Linked DNA regions of Drosophila melanogaster. Changing the gene in region 1 together with any one later gene gives a genetic interaction. Each region holds a gene or a part of one and is shown in the gene's direction. Other genes may lie near its edges. The genes, in order: spn-D, Brca2, spn-E and mei-W68.

Region 1 (3,485 bases):
CATCTCCAGTTTACCAACAACCGGATGACGGGACCGGGACATCTAAGCTTTCATGCCGCCGCCGACATTCAGCTGTACGTTCATGCACCAATCGATGTGCCCTACCAGTTCTCCGAGGGCATGATACGGGAAACGGTGCTGCTGGGCCACTACAAGGAGCTGATCTTGAACGTGATCGAGGTGCACAACGACGAGAGTGTTCAGGACCTAAGCATGGAGCAGCGGCGATGTCGCTATGGCCATGAGCATGTGCCGGAGCGACAGGGAATCTACGACTTCTACAGCTACTCCGGCTGCGTGGTGGAGTGGTAATACTTAATAAAGTTAATATAATTAATTCATAGATTTATGTATAATCCTTAGTACTGTGCTACTTCAACTGGACAACTGCAACTGCACCAGTCACTTTATGGCCATTCCCGGCCAGAATTATCTGCCCGTTTGTGACGTTCGGGGCCTGATCTGCCTGACCCGGATCCGCGACAAGATCATGACGGAGCGCAAGTCCTGCGAGTGCATGAGCTCCTGCGAGGAGCCGGAGTACAACATAATATACAACTCGGCTGATGAGTAAGCACATTAGGATGTTTCATTTGCACAATTTAACATTGAGAGTTGAAATAAGTAAATGGGCTACTTAAAAATGTATCTTTTAACTTTAAGGGATGATGAAGCCTCAGATGAAGTGTCCGAAATCCGCGTGGCCTTGGTTGAACTGCCAACACAACGATACGTTCGTCGCGTAACCAAGACTATACTGGACTTCTTGAGTAAGCTACGCTATCCATATATATAATAGTTTCGAATTCAATTCCGCCTTTTCAGTTTCCCTTGGAGGACTGGTTGGCCTGTTCTTCAACACATCCGCCTTGCGAATAGTGGAGACCATTGTTATCTGTCTGCGGTACAGAAAAACGATTGTGAAGTGGGTTAAGCGGTTTTTTCTTGGCACAGTTCAATATTTACAGATCTTGGACCAGTCGACGTAAATCACAATAATATTATAAGCTTTAAATCATAGTTGTCTTTCTATAGGGAGTATGCACTTGTACGAAGTTGGTAGTAGGAGCTCAGCTCCGTGCGATCTTTTGTGCCACATAGGCTGCGCTATCCGGGGAATTGTGCCAGTTGGGCGGCGTTACAAATTGCATTAGGGTTTGCATGTAGTTGGGAAGATACATGAAGCTGGAGAAGAGCACCAGGAGCAGCATCACCAGAAAGAATCCATCTGATTGAGGGCAGATAATCCGGATTAGCAGTTGGCTTTGTCTCCCAATATCGATACTCACTGATCAGCTTCTTTTCCCAGGGCTCCAGCATGTTCACGCACGTCACCAGTTCGTACTGGCGGTAGGCGTGGCTGGCAAAGTGTTTTAAATTTAACATTTTCAATGACTAAAGTCCAATAAAATCGCGTCGCAGGAAATTAAGTTGTAAACAAAAACCATATGACATTTGGTGTAGCCAGACATTATGAAAATTCAATTGCTTGAAGTCGTATTTCTGTAGCAGCCAGCTCTTAAAAGTTAACTAACACAACACTGCAATGTTAAGTCTTAACAGTACTGTAAAATCATATGGCGCGATTGTTTTGATTATTTGCGATCCCATCTTTTGTTTTTTAAGAGTTTTAAAAAGGATTAAGCAGTCAGGAGTTTACAATGAATCATAGATTTGTTCGGTAGGTTCCATCAAATACAACACTTTTAGAATCCCTATAAACTTTGTGTCTTTCAAGGGTTTGGGAGCCATCGCAACCAGAAGCAATTGAAAGAAGACCATCTGTGTCCCATGAAAACTTTCGAATATTTGATAAATCCTGCTGGGACATTTCCCAAAGTGCCTCAAATAAGATCCTGACGGGCAAGAAAGCCCTGGACACTCACTTTGGAGGTGGAATATCCTTGGGTCACCTGGTTGAACTGATCGGCAATTCGGGCACCGGAAAGACGCAAATGTGGTACTTTATTAACTATTATTTCGTTATTAACTATAATTTACAAATGGTATATGATAGCTTGCAACTTTGCCTAAATGTACAAATTCCCAAGGCAGCTGGTGGATTGGAGGGCAGTGCATTATTTATAGACACCAGGCAGGATTTCCATCCTGACAGATTAATGGGTTAGTAGATGGAATAAACTATTTCTGTGGTATAACTAAACAAAGTTTATTTCTAGGCCTAGCTCTGAAACTGGAAAGGCAGTATGCACATAGAGTTCCAGAATTTAAGGCTCACAAAATGCTGCAGAAAATCCACTATGTGAGGTGCCCGAAACTGGATCAATTAATGGCCACTGTGCTCAGTTGCCACAGGCATCTCGTCGATCATCCCGATGTAATATTACATGTATTTATAATATCCCTTTCTTCGCTAATATAAAATGTTCTCATTGTACTTTGTCCTTTGTGGTGTTACCACAAAAATCCATACTTTTGCCAAACCAATTGAAAGACATTTCTGTAACTTTAAAAACGCAACTGTCTCCTTAGATTAAGCTGATTGTAATCGACTCCCTGGCTTTTACTCTGCGAATGCTTGAGGATGGCGCCCATCGTTACGAGATGCTTCTGGAACTGCATGAAAGCATGCGGAGATTGCAACGTCAACACGAATTGACCGTAAGTCCTCACAATCGATCAATTTCCTTTCCTTTTATAATCCCGTCCACCGGCAGTGGGTCTTCACCAATGTGCTCACGCATCGCTACGTCAAGCAAAAGTTCCAAGTGGAGCCCGCCTTGGGGGATCTGCATTCGCACTTGATCAACGAGCGCATCTGGTTTTCGGGCAGCTCTGAGCTTCACCTGGGCAAGTCGTGGCGAACGAGTAGATTAATTAAGGAATCCGAATGAGGCTACATCACTTTTACTTTGTGTCGAGTTTAAGCATTAGTTAAAAATAGGTACATGCGTATTAGGATTAAATATGCAATTATCAGATGATAATTTTTCTATAAAATAAAAATATGTTTAGCAAGAGATTAGAATCGAAGCATTAGCACAGGAAAGAGGAGCAACAGCAGCATTGGCAAACGGCATCCTCAACCACTTGCCATGATGCGGTGTGGCACAGAAAACGGATTCGCAACTAGCGCACACCCAGCCAGGTGCTGAGCACTTGCTAAAAGCTCTACCGGTCACCTCCACTCCACGAGGAGCCCGATGCCTATCGATGGCGCAGCTCCAGATTGACAGGCGAGCAACGCCTGATTTATGCGCGCGGCGCAGGAATGTGGCAAAGTGTAAAAAGTGTTTACACATACGAACGGCGACACCCAAACCAGACTGCCGATCTCTAGCCCGCGGCCTTTGATTATACACGGGAAAAAAGTAAAGTTTCATTGTATAGATGAATATTCAAATGATTCATTTGGTTATATTTCATGTCATTTATAATGTATATGTTTAACTTTTGCTGTGTACAATGCAATGCGCCACTTTTGGAAAAGTAAATCCAAATACTTGCATACATTATTTTTTTCC
Region 2 (5,888 bases), on another chromosome or scaffold:
TCGATACAATTTCTCGTAAATATCTATATAGGTTTATATATGGGTGTGTATTGTATGTGTGTGGGTTCCAAGTCAACTCCTAGCGATGTCCTTGGATCAGCTGCCGCCGCCGAAGCCTTAGTAGTAGAATATCTGGCCGGCCTTCTGCCGCTTGCGCTCCTCCAGCTTGCGATTGATCTCCTGCTGCCGCTCGGCCTTGCTGAGGGCTCTTGCCACGTACAAGAACTTGTTGTCGCCCAGCTGCTTGCCGTGCAGGCCAATTACGGCGGCCAGCGCCGACTGTGGGTTCTCGTAGGCGACGAAACCGAAACGCCGGGAGCGCCCCTCCTCGTCCAGCATGAGCTGCAAGGATCGGAGAAAGCAAATCGATGATATAAACAAATTAGCACAGATGGGCCAGGTGGAGTCCTCATCTTCCCCGCCGTCACAAACTCCTCGTGGCTACATGGGCATGCGCAGCAATGGCGCAAGAGAGGACTTAAGAGAGTGCAAAACTGTGCCACATGGTTGTCGTCCAACCACCCGGCCCCACGAACATCCCCGTAGGGAAGATGAGGTGACCAAACAACGTACCTTGTGACTGGTGATGCGGCCGTAGGGCTCGAACATCTCGCGCAAATGCTGCTCGGTGAACTCCTCGCTGAGGTTCTTCACATACAGATTCTTGAAGTGCGTGGCCTTCTCCTGCTCCCGGTCCCGCCGTGGTATGAACTTGACCACATGCACCTTCTGATTATTGCACAGCATCCCATTCACCTTCTCGATGGCCGCTCGGGCGGCCTCCTCCGAATCGAAATGCACAAACCCATAGCCGCGTGAATTGCCATCCTCGTCTTTGGCCACATTGCAGTTTAGGATGTTTCCGAACACCGAGAACGTGTCGTACACCGCCTTGTTGTCGATGGACCGCTCCAGGTTCTTGATATAGATCTTGCCACTGTCCGGAGAGCTGTTGCCTCCGCTGCCCCCAGTGGAGCCGCTAGCCAGAGCTCCCCCGCCGACTCCCACGCCCACATTGGCCGAGTGCGAGGACGTGGACGTGTGCCCGCTGCCCAGGGAGTTGTGGCCATGCCGTCCGAGAACAGCGGCGGCCGCCAGGTGGTTACTGGCTGCGTGCCCACCGCCGACGTGGCTCAGGTGACCAGCTGCAGCGGCGTGGTGGTGCAGCTGCTGCTGGTGGTGCGCCGCTGCCAGCGTGTGGTGGTTCAGGGCCGGCTGCTGCTGGTGGTAGTTCGCCGGATTGCCGCGGAACGTCATGGAGTTGACGAACATAATGGCTGCTGGCTGTTTGTGGAGCGTGGTGGCGGCTAGTGGAGTGCTGTAGGTGCTGTAGGTGGATTCTGCGTCCTGGTGGCCGTGGCTCTGGATCTGGATACCGCTGTAGATGGGCCCGAGAATCTTGACGGCGTTCTTGTCCTGGTCCTAGTATTTCACTTCACTTCCCGATTTACCTGGGATGTCGGGAATCTGCGTTATGGCCAATCTAGTCGTAATCCAGCGGAATGCCCACTTACCAGGATTTGCACACGGAATATGACCAAGGATTCGCGGAGTTGAAAAAATCGTTTTTCTCTCGCACAGACTCTTTTCAACGCTCTTCGCTCTCTCTTTCTTTACCTCTCTGGCTCTTCCTTTCGCTCTTTTGTACTTTACTTTTTCTGGGGGCTTTCACTTTTGGGCTGATTCTTTGGGGCTCTGCTGGGCTTTCGCGTAACACTTTCCGGTATTGTTTTCGAGTGGCACCTAAACTAGACTCTTCAGCAATTGCAGCAGTGTAAAACCTGGTTTTTGCAGCTTCGGCGATGGCCCTTTATTATTTAATTGTATTTTATGCAAAAACTGTCGCTACTAGTGATTAGTGATGTTAAAAAACATCGATGCATCTGCCATCGATACGTGAGGCCTTCATGTTCTTGGCCATACCATCGATGACTTTCTCGCTCCCGATTGCTTAGCAAGTCCACCCTCCACAGTTAGCGGATAATGGCCATCAAAGCAACGCTTACCAACACTGCACCCCTTGTTTTGGAAATGCAACCACAAAAGCATTGGACACTTGCTTACTTCAAATAAAACACATTTAAACAATTAGATGACGTGATGGACCAGAATGGCGCATCGGGAAGTCATCCGAACAGGCTATCCCAAGGAAGAGGAGCCCATGCGCGCGAACGTGGCGCCACAGTTTCCGCGGCGGCAAATCGGAGTAACATTATCGACGAAATGGCCAAAATATGCGAAGCCGATCGCCAGACTTTCGCCATCGCTCGACGGACTCGGGGTCACGAGCGGCTTGCGGTGGACAACAGCGACTTCGTCGCCGTGGAGGATCTTATTTTGTCCTACGCAGAGCCCACGCCCGAGGACCAGGTCGAGATGATCATGAGCGACTTTTGCTCGTCTCCAACATACGCAGAGGATGAGGATGAGCCCAGCCATGAGTCGGAGCCGTGGTTTCGATTTCGCAACAAAAGGATCAGAACCTACAGCCGGAAGAGGGATCCCAAAAGCCACAAGGCCGTTCAAAACGAGAAGCGTAGAGGTTCCTCAGGCCTCTCCGTGCAGAGGGATCTCAATACTTCGTTCACATCTATGGCTTGTGATTTCGATGCTTCATCACAGAAGATACACGAGGTCCTTTTGAACCTCAGTCAATACTTTTCCGCGACCGCGACAGCTTCCGGTCCGACTCCTGTCCCATCGCAAATAGATCTGCCAACCGAAGCAAGGCAGGATTCTGGTGACGAGTGTTTCAACGCTGAATTGGAGAACTTGAGGGATGACCTGTTGCAGAGCGGATTTACATTTGAGGCCTCTTTCTATGAAAATGAGCATGAGCAGGAAGGTAGGGAGTGGGATCGATATGGCAAGAAACACATTTGTAACTCCTTTTATATGTACGTAGGTCCAGGAACTATGGCAGACACTATTTATGGCGATAGCATGCAATCGGTTCCCACTACGCGCCTCCGATTGGGTAATTCATATGCAATTTATGTTGTTGCGAAGTTCATTAATATAAACCCTTATTTATAGAAAGTGGAAAACGTAATGTTTGGTCTGATGCAGACTCTACATTGAAAAAAGCTGATGTCGAAATTGCTGAAAATAAGAAACTTTTGATGGGCCAAACGCAAGCAAAAAATGTTGACATAGAGGAGAACACAAACTTCATATTAGAAGGCATACCACTAAGTGAATGGCTAACTCCGATGGAACTGCCCGAGATCTCCAAAGATGTAATCAAACATATACCCGATAAAAAGTTAAAGTTGGAGCCAAGTTCCCAGAAAGAACAAAAAAGTAGCAAAGATTCAAATGCATCAAAGGTTAGAGGAGCCTCAAAACAATCTTGTGATATTAACACGAAAAACGAAGGAACTACTATTCTGGATCAGCCTAATGCTGCAGAGCAAGAAAACCTATTGAACGACGGCGAGCTTCTTGAGGAGTTTCTTTTTAATGATTGGCAACCAATGCAGTGCTCTAATGGCCCATCAACCTCCAAAAACGCAATTCAAGGGCCTAAAGAAAACATCAATTCAATAAATCTGGACGACAAGGAGCAACCAGAAAAGCAGACTCCTAATAAAAGTCAGACCATAAGCAGTCATCAACTTAATGGCATTCGAAAGAAGTCCTTCAAATTTATCGAGGTTTCGGAAGAAATGAAAATTAAAGGCGAAGAGTTTGTAGACAAAGTTGTATCCGGCCTATATCACTTTAGTCACAAGTGCAACTTACGTACTGAGGAATACTCCGATAATCATAGTCAAGTAATGGAATCAACACAGTGTGCGGAATTCAAATCAGCCCCAAGCAAGCCCATCGAAATATTGGATGGTAAGGAAACCTACAATGCAATAGCTAAAGTTGACGTTGGAGAAATAAATGGAAAATTCAGTCCTCTCAATAACGATACTATAGCAGAGCCCGAGTTTTGTGGCTTTCGCACAGCCTCAAATAAGGCAATTCCGATTTCTGAGAAGATGAAAATCAAAACTGCAGAGTTTATGGCTGAGTTTCAATCCAAAGAAACAATTCAACAAAATGATTATTTAGTCCATCAGCCAAATGACAAACCGACGTCTGTTGGACTTGATACAGCCTTAAAAAGATCAATAGAGAGTTCAGAGGAAATGCGATCGAAAGCTTCCAAGTTGGTGGTCGTTGATACTACAATGCGGGAACCGCATCAACCCACACTTGACCCAGTTTGCCGTGACTTAAATGAATCACAGTTTTTCGGCTTTAGAACAGCGTCAAACAAAGCCATTGAGATTACCGAGGCGATGGAGAAGAGAGGAGCCATGTTTCTGGCCCAGTCTAAAGCTACAGACCAATTAAACGGGTGGCAGCCAAGCGATTTTCCTGATGTTCTACCCACCTCTCCAAACAATGAGATTCATTCAATAAATGTTGAAAATAATAAGGCTGTGAATACTAAAACCGTATCTGAGACCGAATTCTTCGGCTTTCGTACCGCTTCAAATAAAGGAATTGTGATTTCGGAAAATACGAAAATCAAAGTTGCACAGTTCATGAGTGAATTTCAAGCCGCCGATGCAAGCACTGACTCGAACCAACCAACTGTGATCTCTGAGGAATCGAGAAATATTGATGCCAAGTTCGTAGATGAAGCGGCGGCAGAAGACAGTGCCAACAAGCCAACTTTTTGCAATGTACAAAGTCTAAAAAATACCTCAGATATTGAGCATTTCAAACACGACTTCTTCGTGGAGCATTCTGCAAAGGAAGAGCATCCGCTGTGTAGCCAGCCATTGGTGAGGACACCCAGAAGGTCGCAGGAGATCCACTCCTCACTATCGCAACTTGCCGGCAAATCACCACTGGACCAGGCCACCAAGAAGTCCGTAATAGCTCGCCGGAACCTCCTGTCACTAAAAAGAAAGCGAAAGATCATTTTGTCAACTGAAACTTCCACTTCCTGCGCCTTACCCACTATGGAGCGATTCGCTCCCAAGCCTTCCTCGACAAGTACTCCGCTGGCCGACAGGGACTTAAATCGCTCCAAGGACTGTACAAAGAATAGACAGGATGCGGAGGACATGTCCCCTATTTGCATGCAACCCAAAAAGAGTCGAAGACTTGGTCTGAGTCGAAGTCGCTATTAGTACACATTAAGTAAGCGTTGCTTTATACCCAAAATATTTAAACCGCTGGCCGATTTGAAATGGGTAGAGATTTAGTTGAATTAATTAAGGTATGCCATTAGTGGTCTCATCATGACAGATTGAATAATTGTATAAGTTATCATAATAAGCGTTTTTTGTTAAGTGCACCTTATAAGGAAATAAACGATCCGATAAGGGCCACCCGCTAACCAACTTCCTTAAAGGTGCCCACTTACGAGTTCCGCGAAAAAAACGAGAAGAGACGAAATCAGTCCCACAGTTCACAAAACAAATGCGAAAAAGTAGTAGTCCAGGTCGAATGCCTTAGCCGGCGGCTCATCATCGCGCATCAAGGTATAGATTCCCTGATGGATGAGCTCCCGGAAAGTGTCCGCCTTCATTTTGATGCTGATCCCGTGCTCCTGCAGGCGCCTCATGAACTCACTGGTCATCGCCAAGTACGGCAGACTGTTGGACACGCAGTAGGATTCGAGGGTAAAACCCACGGCCTGGCGAATCATGTTGAAGCGCGGCGTCTTCAGCAGGTACTGCTGCATCAGGATCAGCTCCAGGCGGTCCTCGTACAATATGTATATGTAGCTCTGATTGAGCCCATCCCGGTACGCCTTTAGCAGGGTGGCGTTCAAGCTCAAGCTGTTCCTGCGGAGCCGTTCGGGCAGGAAGGTTTTCGCCTTCATCTGACTTCTGTAGTACTCGTCGTGCAGACTGGGGTAGGGAGCCCTGGCCAGATCC
Region 3 (7,843 bases), about 11 Mb from region 1:
CCCTTCAATTAAGTTTTACTCGCAGCGTGGTCCTAATTTGCAGTATCACTGCCAACGTGTCACAATTAATTAAATTCATTAACCACTAAATAAATTATTTGAATTTGTAAGCCTTTCTGTTTTAATTAATTTATGTAAATTCTTTTTACAAAATTAACGTGGATAAAACTGCAAGTAACTTTCATAAATAATATCTGTTTCTAATAACTGACCAGCAAATGGAAGTTATTGCCTATAATTTGTGTAATCAAAATCGGAATAGTAAAGTATTAACTAAGTTTCATTTATTTGTAGTCGCTCCGTCATTGGAAAAAATGCTTTCTATTGGCCTGTTAATTAAATAAACTTTGTCATCTGTCGAATACAACGTGGAACTCTTTGAATATAAATAATTTATATTTATTAGGCCAGTTGAGTAATTAAAAAAAATACAACTGACTTTCGCTTAAGACGAAGCCACAGCAACGATCTTTAATTGGAAAATCGTTCTAAACAAGGAATTCTAGGGGTACAAGCAACTTTAACGATAGAGATGGTCGGCCTGCAAGTTAGAGGCAATCTCGGACTCCCACTTGTCGCCGTTGCAGAGAAGCTTCTCCTTGTTGTACAGCAGCTCCTCGTGCGTCTCCGTGGAGAACTCGAAGTTGGGTCCCTCGACGATGGCGTCCACGGGACAGGCTTCCTACGCGGGGGGACAAAAAGATGCAATTAGTTTCTAGTAAATTGTGGCGCCACTTTGCTCCTCCTCACCTGACAGAATCCGCAGTAGATGCACTTGGTCATGTCGATATCGTAGCGTGTGGTACGTCTGCTGCCATCCGCGCGCTCCTCCGCTTCGATGGTGATCGCCTGTGCGGGGCAAATAGCCTCGCATAGCTTGCAAGCGATGCAGCGCTCCTCTCCACTGGGATAACGACGAAGGGCATGTTCTCCGCGGAATCGCGGGCTCAGTGGTCCCTTTTCAAAGGGATAGTTGATAGTGGCCGGTTCCTTGAAGATGTGCGCCAGGGTGACGGCAAATCCACGTAAGAGTTCACCGAAGAACATGGTGGATGCAGCACGGTCCGTGATGTCGGCAAACTCCATGCTCAGTTCCTTGTTGTTTACATACACATAGCCCTTGGGAACCTCGACGATATCTTTGGGTTCTGCTCGCTGGGCGGCCAGCAGCCGGGCTCCATGGCTGCCAAACAGGCGCTGTCCTGTGGGGAGAACATTTTACCATTAAATAACATGCTTAAGTCGAAAAGTTATACTGAATTAAGCGAGTTTAGACTTTTGTTTTGGTATGACATAAGCTTACATAACCTCACTCGCCGCGATTTCCACGAAAATGGGAAATTTCCCGGAAAACAACGGATGTGAGGGGATGGGTCGCCACCTACCGTTGCGCGATGCGGTGAAAATTCGCATAGTTAGCGACATTTTTGCGACCAAATTAAACTAAAATTGCCAAAGAAGTTGTTTTGCTATTGAATTTGCCCGAACAAATTAGAGCTGGGTTTCTTTCGATTACCCACATAAATTCAATGCTCAAATATCGTATTCAAATATATCGTAGTTTCTTAATGACATAAACCAAAAATAAAATATGAGATATAAAATATAAATAATGTAACAAAGAATTAAATATTCGTGTAAAAATAATAAATAATATTAACAAATAATCCAGAAAGACTGTGAGAAAAAAAAGAAAACATTTTTTTTATACGAATACCCCTAATAAAAACCTTAAAGCTTCGATAATGGCACTATCGATATAAATTCGCACTTTTACACTTTTCAACATTGACTTTGAAAATCCCCACCACTACAATTTACAGTTTAACTTTTCCCGCTACGCGGAATTGTGAAATTTTTCATTGTTTATGTCGGAAAATGGATCAGGAGGTTATGGATTTCTTTGACTTCTCGAAGGAGTTGAAGCGCGTGGCCGCCGCCCCGCAAGGCTACATCAGCAGCGATCCGAGGCTAATGGCCACGAAGTTCAAATCATCCGAAGTGCCCAACCGCGAGTTGATCGGCACCGACTATGTCAGCAAAATCGTCGCCAAGGAAAAGTGTCTCCTGAACGGGGTGAGAACTGGAAGCTTGCGTCAGCACTTCTGTTTGTTTATGTGTAATTCGATCCAGACGCTGCTCAACGAACAGCCTCAAGGCAAACGCATTCGAACGCTGGACGATTTGGACACCGACGATGAGGGGGAAGAGACCGAAATTCGCCGGGATGACGAGTACTACAAGAAGTTCAGATTCAATCTGAATCGCGACAAGAACTTGTCCATCTACGCCAAGCGCGAGGAAATATTGGCGGCCATCAATGCTCATCCGGTAGTCATTATTAAGGGCGAAACAGGATGTGGCAAGACCACGCAGGTGAGCAAAACTTAAATAAAATCCTAACTTTTTTATTAAGTCTATATTTTAATAAAGCCAACGCAAGCGAATTATAATTAAACCTTTTATCCTCGACTTTTGAAATTCAAATCCAAACTAGTCGAGAGTATTTAATATTATATAATAAATAATAATCTTCAATATACTTTTCAACTCTTTATATAAGAATAGCAAAGCCTAGGAAACTTATATCCTATATAGTTATATATCCTATCCTACATACTTAAATACAATGAATATTTTATGTGCAACAGATAAACAAGATCACATCGCGCAAAAATGCTAGTTATTTAATTATGTAAAAGTTTTATAAACTAACTCAAGTATCCAAAATAGCTTTGAGTTCTTCTTCCGTGACCTCCTCGCTTTCACCCACTTCCATTTCCTCGTCGTCACTAAACTCAATCATCTCATACTCTTGCTGCACGTCTGCTGGAAGTTCCCTCTGAAAAACGGTGGCCGAGGACATGCGGCGTTGATAAGTCTCGTTGACCTCCAGCTGCACTTCTAGTTCATCCGCCTGGTTTTGCGGCTCCCGTTCCTCGACGCCGTACATGGCCTTGTTCCGCACCCTCTGGCGCACTTCCAACTGGTTGCCTGTAGATGTTGTGGTACAATTCTCATCTGGAGTACTCTTTCTAGCTCCTAGAACACTTTGGATATCGGCAAAGACTTCTCGCAAATGGCCGAATATTTGAGAGGGCGGCAAAGCGTGCTCATGACCAGCCGCCAATTGCTTCTTTTGGGCATTGTATGCCGCTTCCAGTTCACACAATGGCTGGCTTGCCTGGTCCAGTGCTCGCAGACCCTCCAGTTCGTATGTGAGACTGACGCCGTTCGCACGCTGTTGCTTCTGCATCAAGGCACTCTGCCTCTGTTCCTTGGCACCCGCTACGGTCTCCACACGGTCGTAGTCCACCAGATTGTCCAACCCCTGGCAATAGTCGAGCGCGGTGAAGCGGAAGGCCTGCTCCTGGGTCAGGCGCCACAGCATGTAGGCGATCTGATGAGTGTCCTTCCGCTCCGGACTATCCTTGCGCAGATCTAGAGCGTAGTCTGTTAGTTCTTGCCAAGTGCGCGGTGAGACCTCGATCTTAATAAAGTTGTGCGTGGGCTGCTTGTAGTAGATTACGTAGAGCAGAAAGAAACCTCCGATCCTTTGAGCGCGAGATGCCGGGAAAACGTCCCCGGTGGTGCGTCGGGAGCACGACAGTCGCTTGGCCACATGCAGGGCCGCCAGTGTGGTGGCTATCACCTCTGTGTGGTTCGTCTGGGCAGTGAAGAGGTGCTGCAGCTGCAGTTCTCGCCAGCACCGGCAGAACACCTCGAACTCGCAGTTTTCGCCATCATTAACCAATCGCTGAAATCGTTGCACCAGCTCCCAGCAGTCGTCAAAGATATTCAGCTCCATTCTGAATCTTAATTACGCGAAATATATGCGCATCTCTCATTCAAAAGAGCCTCAAAATATAAACAATAACATTCGCCGGGAATAAGCTTTTACAACACTAGCCGGGGAGTTCATCGATAAATATGTAGTGTTCATAACTGCTTAGCTATTTTCAAAAAAAAAGCGCAAAACTATAAAAACTGTTTGAAAAATGTGTAAAAAATACAATTACATTTTTGTTCTGCTTTGTAAATATTTAGATATTTTCTTATAATTATTATTAGTATTCAATCAATTATTCTTACAGGTGCCCCAATACATTTTGGATGAGGCCTATAAAAGCGGTAAATACTGCAACATTGTGGTGACACAACCCCGGCGCATAGCTGCCATCTCCATAGCGAATAGAGTTTGCCAGGAGCGCGAGTGGCAGCAGAACACGGTGTGCAGCTTCCAGGTGGGCCTGCACCGCCCGAACTCTTTGGAGGACACTCGTCTGTTGTACTGCACCACCGGGGTGCTGCTGAACAATTTGATTAACAACAAGACGTTGACCCACTACACCCACATTGTGCTGGACGAGGTGCATGAAAGAGACCAGAACATGGATTTTCTTCTGATCGTGGTGCGTCGCTTGCTGGCCACGAACTCGCGGCATGTAAAGATTATCCTGATGTCGGCCACCATCGATGCCAAGGAACTGTCCGACTACTTTACCACCACTAACTCAATTCCGCCAGTGATCACCACCAATCATCGACGTAAGCACTCGATCGAGAAGTTCTACCGTGACCAGCTCGGCAGCATTATTTGGAATGAGGAAGATGTGGGACACCAGCAGGTGCCAGAAATCAACAAACACGGTTACAGGGCAGCGGTAAAGATCATAGTGATTATTGACAACATGGAACGGAAGGCTGCAATCCAGTCGCGGCAGAGCTATGACGAGGCCCTGCGCTATGGAGCTGTGCTCATCTTTCTGCCAGGCATCTACGAAATCGACACGATGGCAGAAAATCTTACTTGTATGCTGGAAAACGAGTAAGCATTGTTATCCGTGAGAATTGCTCACTGTACAAATTTTGAAGTAGCTAAAATTGTATCATTATAATTTCCAATCTTTATTGTTTAATTGCAGCCCCAACATTAAGGTCTCTATTGTTCGCTGTTTTTCGTTAATGACACCGGAAAACCAACGGGATGTCTTCAATCCCCCGCCTCCCGGTTTCCGCAAGATCATTCTGACCACAAACATTGCTGAGAGCTCCATCACGGTGCCAGATGTCTCATACGTTATTGACTTTTGTCTTGCCAAAGTAAAGGTAACCGATACGGCTAGCAGCTTCTCTTCGCTCCGCTTAACCTGGGCGTCCAAAGCCAATTGTCGTCAGCGTGCCGGCCGCGTTGGTCGTCTTCGTAGTGGACGCGTTTACCGTATGGTTAATAAACACTTCTATCAGAGGGAAATGCCCGAGTTTGGAATACCAGAAATGTTGCGCTTGCCCTTGCAAAACTCGGTGCTCAAGGCCAAAGTGCTGAATATGGGATCACCGGTGGAAATCTTGGCATTGGCTCTATCTCCGCCGAATCTGTCGGACATACACAATACAATATTGCTTCTGAAAGAGGTGGGTGCTCTGTACTTAACAGTAGACGGCATCTACGACCCGTTGGATGGCGATCTTACCTACTGGGGCACAATCATGTCTCGGCTGCCGTTGGACACACGTCAGTCCCGGCTTATCATATTGGGTTATATTTTTAACATGCTCGAAGAAGCTATTATTATAGGTAAGCGGGCAACAGTAGTTAAGCTTTAGGATAACGGGGGGAATATTCTTTGTCTTGCATTAATGATTTTTTTTTTAAATATGTTGTAGCTGCTGGCTTATCGACGCCTGGCTTGTTTGCGCACGAAGGTGGTAGGTCTCAATTAGGCGATTCATTTTGGATGCACTATATCTTCTCCGATGGATCTGGCTCCGACTTGGTGGCCATTTGGCGCGTGTATCTGGTAAGTTATGCGATGCATTACTAATAGCGTAATAACTTGTTTCTTCGGCAGACATATTTGAACATTGTGGAAAATGGTCACGACCAGGAGTCTGCTATCCGTTGGGCCAAACGTTTCCACGTCTCCTTGCGGTCACTTAAGGAGATACACTTGTTGGTGCAGGAACTGCGTGTGCGATGCACGCATCTCGGTCTGATTCCGTTTCCTGTTAATCCTAACCAAATGATGGACGATCGTGAAAAAGCGATCATGCTCAAAGTGATCATTGCAGGTGCCTTCTACCCAAACTACTTTACGCGTTCCAAAGAGTCGTGTGCAGACACAGATCGCAATATATACCAGACAATATCGGGCCACGATCCCTGCCGCACCGTATATTTTACCAATTTTAAGCCTGCCTACATGGGCGAGTTGTACACTAGGCGCATTAAGGAGCTATTTCAGGAGGTCAGGATTCCGCCGGAAAACATGGACGTTACTTTTCAAGAGGGTTCGCAAAAGGTCTTTGTCACTTTCAAACAGGATGACTGGATTGAAGGTTCATCTAAGTATGTTCCTGTGTCGGGCAGAGTTCAAAGTGAGGTGTACAAGGCAGTTATGATGCGACAAAATCGTGTCGAACGGCCAATCCACATAATGAAGTGAGTTATCAAGGCTTTTACTATCGATTATGAAGCTTATGTTTAATCATTTACAGTCCGAGTGCATTTATGAGCTACGTACAGCAGCGAGGGATTGGAGATGTGATTGAGGGCCGTTGGATTCCACCCACAAAGCCTTTAAACGTCGAGCTTCTTGCGCTGCCATCTGTCTTTGACAAAACTATTTCAGGGTCGATTACTTGCGTAAGCTGCTGCACCACACAAATCTAGAGAATTTCAAAGTATTTTTTTTATTTTTCCTATCTTACAGATCGTCAACTGTGGCAAGTTCTTTTTTCAACCCCAATCTTTTGAAGAGTGCATTCGAAATATGTCTGAAATTTTCAATGCTCCACAGCAACTAAGAAATTACGTAACTAACGCGAGTGCCATCGCAAAGGGCATGATGGTGTTGGCCAAACGCGATAGTTATTTCCAGCGCGCCACAGTGATCCGGCCAGAGAATCAGAGCAATCGCCAACCAATGTTCTACGTTCGCTTCATCGACTATGGTAATTGCACTTTGCTGCCCATGCAGCTAATGCGTTTGATGCCGAGAGAGCTAACTGAACAGTACGGCGACCTTCCGCCACGTGTTTTTGAGTGCAGGCTGGCAATGGTTCAGCCCTCTTCAGTGGTCAGTGGAAACAATAGGTGGTCCACCGCGGCTAATGATATGCTCAAGACAGTGGCCCAATGCGGTCTAATCGATATTGAGGTGTATTCGCTTTTCAATAATGTAGCAGCTGTTCTCATTCATATGAGAGATGGCATAATCAACGATAAGCTAGTAGAGCTTATGTTGTGCCGTCGATCCGACGAAGATTATATGTCTAGAAAAGATCATGATTTCCGTTTGCGACGTCAAGAATCTGCCCGGAACTTGAGCACGGCGCAGCGTCAACAGATCAATGAGGAATATCTGCGATCCTGTCAGCTGCCGCAAGACCACGATCTACCACCGCCTCCGCTGGAAAAGTGCAAGACCGTTGTAATGTTGAAAGGACCCAACAGTCCTTTGGAATGTACTATGCGATCCATTACTCGTGTGGGCTTAAGTAAACGGGTGAATATAGACCATTTGTCCGTTAATGCACTTCTCCTGGATGCTGATCCTCAAGATCACCACGATCATTTGATAGTGGCCCACGAAATCGCGGAGAGTAGAAACGGGCAGACACTGACAGCCCGTGGAACCACCCTGATGCCCAATGTGCAGGGATTCGGTGCTCTAATGGTTATGCTATTTAGTCCCACTATGCAACTTAAATGCAATAAAGAAGGCACATCATATGTCTCTGTTCTGGGAGGATTGGGTTGTGACCCGGACACAAACGAGCCCTACTTCGCAGAGCATGACGTGTTGATTAATCTGGATGTCAACATTCTCGAAGATGATGT
Region 4 (5,400 bases), on another chromosome or scaffold:
CAGAAACCCATGAGACCATTAGAGTCCCAATGGTATCGCCATGGACAAAGTAACCTGGCCCAAGGCAATACTTTCACTAGATCCACGCAAAATCTTTTGATGCCATCGCGTTTGCCGTCCATAAACAGGAACGTCGGCGGAGCTGATGTAAGCGCCTGGGTGGCGGCCAATCAAAGTGTGAACCAAGATCTATGCACTGCCAATCTAATGAGACATTACGAAGAGAAACAGCAGAATCAACTTTCCCGCACTTCGTCACAATCTTCTGGATTTGAGTCGCAGCCACGTCCAGAAGCCCAATGCGGAACAGGTGCTGCAACTGTAAGGGACTACGGCTGGTCCGAAGCCCGTGAGAGTCAGCGAAATTTCGCAGTTTTTCCGCCAATGCCGTCACCTACACCCACAATAACGCCTAGTGAATATCAATACTCGAGGACTGCTCTTCCGCAGCAACAGCCAACTATGCAGCCGGGGGATTTACTTAGGAAGTGGATTGAGATTAACTCAAAATCCTCACAGCCAATACACTAATGTGATGTGAGGTCATAAATATCTAGAAAAACTTAGAAAAAATTCTGGAAAAGATCACCGCCAGTTGGGAAATTATATAAATTTGACTTAACTTAATTATCAAATAATTTATTTTTGACTTACAGTTTTTAAGCTTCTTTATTCTACTAAAGGTTAGTCCTCCCTTTACTTATAATCGACTAAATAAGTAGTGTTTAGCTAGACATTCTTTAATCTGTGTAGCTCTAAGTTTCGTGGTTTTCAATATAGAACTTTTCAGGGAATTGAAAGTCAGGGAGTAAGATTAGAAGGTAATATAAATACTACTTGATTTTAAAGGGAGAATAAAGCTTTGGTAACTAAGTTATTTATTCATTGAAGACAATCATTCAAAGTTTGTTTTTATCGTTAACTAAACTTTTGTGACTCACATAAACTAGATAAATTGTTTATTATACAAATACATATTTTTTGAAATAAAAGCAAAACAAAAAAATGGTTATTATTTTGTTAAGTTAAGTGCAGTTATAAGAAAATATTCATTATCAAGTTAAATTCAATAATAACAGTGACCTGTCTTTTTGGTTGTTTTTCTCTTTTAAAAAATGTTATATTGTTCTCTTAGATTTCAGAACACGCTCTCTTAGTGCAGTGCTGCCAGTTGGTTAACGGCGCGGTGTAGAAATCAAAGTGGCCGTTTCCAAAGTCGGCACGGCACTTCAAAAATTCATACATTTGCCCCTGAAAGTATGTTGTTTATGTTGTTGTTAATATTGAACAAATATATTATGAATTTAAATTATCTTAATAAACAATTATGTATATAAGGTTGTGTAGCCTCTAACCATTCTCGAATGTAAAATTTAGCTGGTTATTTCAAATTACACATTAATCAATCAGTCTGTGGGCGCGGTTTTTAGATGACAGCTTGCTGTATATTTAGTATATAAGTAGTAACAGGAGAAAAAGTTTAGTATTTTTGAATACCGTCCAGCTGGCAACACTGCTACAATATGGCTGCCGTATCGTAATGTGAATTTTTTTGAGAGACCGAGACGTACATACTTTTGTTGCTGCCAAAGTGGATGTGGACGGAGGAAAATAGTAATATTTAACTGCGTTGCGGGAGCGGGACAATCGTCGTTTGCCAATTGCGGCCACCGCTTATGTCGGCTAATCGGCTATCAATAATATTAGTAATCGTATCAATATCAAGTTACCCATTACCCATCGCGGATACACATTAGTTTTGCGAAGGGCAGAGCAGCGCAGAGCATATAGCGAATATTTCCATTTGTTGCCAACAAGACTGTCGTTGTTGTTGTTATTATTGTGGCTTTTCAGTGACTGGGGAGAGCAGTGGGGGTGCGTTCGTAATCCTTGTGAAAAATCGGTGACCGTTCTTCTTAAAAAAAAAGCGAAAGAAAAAACCATCGCGATAAGAAAATATAAGAAAGAAAAATCTGATTGAAAACCAAAGAGCTGCTGCTACTGCTGCTGTGCGAGTGAGAGCGGTCGAGAGGTAGCTAGTGAGCGAGTGAGAAAGCTATGTATTGCATTTGCATTTCGTTGTGTGTGTCGTCGTTTTCGTTCGGTAAAAGTCGGTAAAAAGCAGAGCCTTTCCAAACCTAACCACTTTCGGGTAAACGGAATCGGAAAAGGAACTGGGAAAATCGAAAGAAATTAAATAATAATATGCGTTACATCGATGGCAACAACAACAACAACAGCAGCGACCATCAGCTAGCGACTCCTCTCTGAGCGAGAGAGCTAATAGCTTTTCAGCTTTAGCTTTTCTTGGGCCAATCGGAAATTGTATTTCATTGGTAAGTACAAGAAGTGGCAGCACCATAACCAGCAAATCAATACTTGGGCTGCCATTCCGTTTCGTTCCGTTCGTCAGTTTTCCTAGCCCATTCGTTGGCGCTCTCTCTTTTCCGTCAGTCTCTCTCTTTCTCTTCCCCAAAAGAGAGCGAAAACCCCCCGCCCGCCCACACTCGGTGTATGTGTGCTTTGTAATAACGAGTACACTTTTCTGCACATACGAAAAAGAAGGAAAAAAGAATAATAAAATAAGAAGAAAAAATGAAAGACCGAATAAAGAAATTCACATAAACTTATGGCACTCTCCCTCGCGCTCTCTTCATTTGCAACTAGTGTGCGTGCTTAAATTTTTAAAAAACAGTTGTTTTCACCGAAAGGGAATTTTCATTTCGATGGTATATTTTTAGCCAGCAAGCTCCTTTCGGAAATTATTTATAACCCCCCTCGAAATGTTTCCACGCAACGATTTACGCGATAAACTTTTACAAAATCAGATATAAGTAAGTGCAAAGACCACTTGATTTTCGTATAGTATGTAAGTCCACGAATTGCTTACGTATTTATGAAATATTACTGTGCGTAGGTCGGTGGGCGTGTTTCAACGTTTTAGCCCACAGTTTTCACTCATTTTCCTGCGGGGTTTCCGCTTGTGACAAAGGCATTCAAAGAACCAACAAGAAAATCCCGGGGGCGTGGCACCACCCATGCAATTAAATTAGACCAAAAAAGTGCTTACACTTTGTATTCTAGAGAATGTTTCAAATCATTGAACATAAACAGAAGAATTCATGCGAATTTAGAACTAATGGAAATTGGGAGCAAGGATACATAAAGTTGGAGGAATTCAAAAATGTAATTGTTTAAAATTTAAGCGTTAGTAACCAAGTTCTTGTTAAAATATATGCCGCTTAATTAAGTTTAAATCTGTTATTCACAAGTAAAATTATATTTATTATTAATTTCTCTTAATTTGGATATTAAAAAACCTCATTTTGTAGATTGCAAGAGTACGAAATCAAGAAGACGTACATATTTGTTGTTAAGAATCCGTTCCTAATATAAGTAAATTGCTAGAACAATGGATGAATTTTCGGAGAATATAGAAAGAATTGCCCTCGAGTTGCTGAGCAACTTGGTTCATGGCAATGCCACTCTTAGTGTTCCCCGAAATTCATCCGGAAACGTGATCTCGGAATATCGACGAGTCAGCTATAATAATCGCGGAAGTCGCCATAGCTTTTGCGTGCTGATTTACATGCTCTCCCGGGTGCACCGATTGCAAGTCCGCGGAGGAAGTTTCACCGTCCGTGGACTATACTATGACAATCCTCTGCTAGTCCGGTCGCAGTCCAGGATTGCCGAAGCCAGGCTAGATGTCTGTCGTATGCTGAGGACATCCCCCCTAAGCTTGGGCATACTGGCCGCCTCCAAGGGCCTGGTGGCAGGTGAGTTTATCTCGAAATCCTGATCAAAGGCTCCCTGCTCATCCGGTTACTCTTGCAGGCGACTTAAGGCTGCTGATGACCAACGGAGACGTTCTGGACAGCAGCTTGTATGGTGGACCTCTGACATTGCCCACGGATCCCGAGAAGATAGATCGAATCGAAACGCTGGCGGAATTTGTGCTAATCGTTGAAAAGGAGTCGGTTTTTGAGAGTCTCTTATCCAGAAATGTATTTGGTACTTTTGAACGACGCTTCATCCTTATAACTGGAAAAGGATACCCCGATTGCTGTACCCGGAGGATTGTCCATCGGCTCACCGAGGAGAACCAACTGGCGGCCTACATTCTCGTTGACGCCGATCCATTTGGCGTCGAGATAATGCTAGTCTATCGCCATGGCTCGAAGTCCATGAGTTTTTCCAGCCAAGGACTAACCACACCTGCGCTGCGTTGGATTGGTCTACACCCCTCGGAGATTCCCGCACTCGGCACTGGAGCGGTTGCCCTGGTTGCCGGCGACAACAAGAAAATCAATGACCTCCTCGCCCGCCACGATTTGGAGCCGGGAGTGCGGCAGGAACTGCGCATGCTGCAGGACGTTCAGCTGAAGGCCGAAATCGAGAGTGTCATCGACTTCCTGACCGACGACTATATACCAAATAAAATCAATCGGAACTTGTTTTTGTAGAGTTCAGTGGTAAACCCCATAAGCCAAATATTATTACTCTTGAAATATTATTAGTTAGTTTAAAATATGTTGTAGGTATAGTAATATAGTAATTAGTTTGTAAAAAACGTATCTCTATAAAGATACCATAAGACTCCTAAAAATAGTACTGTAAAAGTTAGTTCGCGTAATCAGCTTTCCATTAATATTTGAATTAATTAAGATAGTAATTTAATAATTAAATTCCCCATTCATTGGGATTCCGATTTTGTTGCTTATGTTATAAAATGTAATGTTTAATTTCAATGCAGCTTTAATAACGTCAATATAATATTACGACTAATTAATATTAAAGTACCTTAAGATCCTTGCCTTTAGAAAACATAATTTTAATATTTGGATAACGGATAATAGTAATTTACACTCGTAATGTCTGAGTAATCTGCTTCTAGTGTTTCGTATTGAGTGGTCAACTTGATTTTCTGCATTACTTTGTGTGGACGAAGCCAGTAAACTCAAGCAGACAAAGGAGATTATTTTTTTTATTGTGCCTCTAAAGTGTTATGGCTTGAGGTCGGTAATCGGAGCCGGTAATTGGCTACGTTTTTGATAATGGCAAGTGAATGGCCAGTCATATTATAGGTGCCGAAAGATACAAGTAGTCTGCTTTGTTTAGATCCATACTAATTGCGTGCATTTATTTCTTGCAGATGTGAAGGAGTACCACGGATGATAGAAACCCATTGGGCATTTGACTACTTTTAAGCACCGAAACCTGAAAGACTCCCGAAAATACTCGAATCTCACGTGCAGAATCTCTAAGAATCCCTATTGGACTGTTTAAAAATATGTCGACAGCAATGCGCACCACACTGCAGTCAGTTCCTGAGGCCCTGCCAGCGGATAGCGTGTCCAATGGCACAGCATCCAATGTAGCAGCACCGGCGGCGCCAGT

What was found.
Region 2: of spn-D (region 1) and Brca2, changing one suppresses a phenotype caused by changing the other (phenotypic suppression), as found in Drosophila melanogaster (one study listed by BioGRID).
Region 3: of spn-D (region 1) and spn-E, changing one enhances a phenotype caused by changing the other (phenotypic enhancement), as found in Drosophila melanogaster (one study listed by BioGRID).
Region 4: of spn-D (region 1) and mei-W68, changing one suppresses a phenotype caused by changing the other (phenotypic suppression), as found in Drosophila melanogaster (one study listed by BioGRID).

What each region holds. Positions count from the first base shown.
Region 1 is NT_033777.3:27,164,143-27,167,627, forward strand, and holds spn-D (spindle D), read left to right. Parts: upstream 1-1,573; 5' UTR 1,574-1,661; coding exon 1,662-1,681; intron 1,682-1,738; coding exon 1,739-1,960; intron 1,961-2,017; coding exon 2,018-2,124; intron 2,125-2,180; coding exon 2,181-2,338; intron 2,339-2,493; coding exon 2,494-2,622; intron 2,623-2,678; coding exon 2,679-2,855; 3' UTR 2,856-2,980; downstream 2,981-3,485. Other genes in the region: ppk31 (pickpocket 31), read left to right, coding at 1-308, 364-570, 664-770, 826-989; CG34293 (uncharacterized protein), read right to left, coding at 1,071-1,228, 1,290-1,386.
Region 2 is NT_033778.4:24,524,201-24,530,088, forward strand, and holds Brca2 (BRCA2, DNA repair associated), read left to right. Parts: upstream 1-1,971; 5' UTR 1,972-2,100; coding exon 2,101-2,845; intron 2,846-2,905; coding exon 2,906-2,977; intron 2,978-3,036; coding exon 3,037-5,135; 3' UTR 5,136-5,353; downstream 5,354-5,888. Other genes in the region: CG4612 (uncharacterized protein), read right to left, coding at 118-342, 574-1,272. UniProt on the Drosophila melanogaster protein: Involved in and required for double-strand break repair by meiotic and mitotic homologous recombination. During meiosis, has a dual role in the repair of meiotic double-stranded breaks and the efficient activation of the meiotic recombination checkpoint.
Region 3 is NT_033777.3:15,835,605-15,843,447, forward strand, and holds the start of spn-E (spindle E), read left to right. Parts: upstream 1-1,814; 5' UTR 1,815-1,878; coding exon 1,879-2,076; intron 2,077-2,133; coding exon 2,134-2,376; intron 2,377-2,541; exon of another isoform or gene 2,542-2,716; coding exon of another isoform or gene 2,717-3,808; exon of another isoform or gene 3,809-3,911; intron 3,912-4,094; coding exon 4,095-4,828; intron 4,829-4,925; coding exon 4,926-5,578; intron 5,579-5,667; coding exon 5,668-5,801; intron 5,802-5,852; coding exon 5,853-6,442; intron 6,443-6,498; coding exon 6,499-6,646; intron 6,647-6,713; coding exon 6,714-7,843. Other genes in the region: ND-23 (NADH dehydrogenase (ubiquinone) 23 kDa subunit), read right to left, coding at 521-682, 751-1,202, 1,386-1,425; Pbp45 (PSEA-binding protein 45kD), read right to left, coding at 2,717-3,808. UniProt on the Drosophila melanogaster protein: Probable ATP-binding RNA helicase which plays a central role during spermatogenesis and oogenesis by repressing transposable elements and preventing their mobilization, which is essential for the germline integrity.
Region 4 is NT_033778.4:19,454,640-19,460,039, forward strand, and holds mei-W68 (meiotic W68), read left to right. Parts: upstream 1-1,530; 5' UTR 1,531-2,336; intron 2,337-3,332; 5' UTR 3,333-3,412; coding exon 3,413-3,779; intron 3,780-3,837; coding exon 3,838-4,466; 3' UTR 4,467-4,884; downstream 4,885-5,400. Other genes in the region: CG7744 (uncharacterized protein), read left to right, coding at 1-531. UniProt on the Drosophila melanogaster protein: Required for meiotic recombination. Together with mei-P22, mediates DNA cleavage that forms the double-strand breaks (DSB) that initiate meiotic recombination.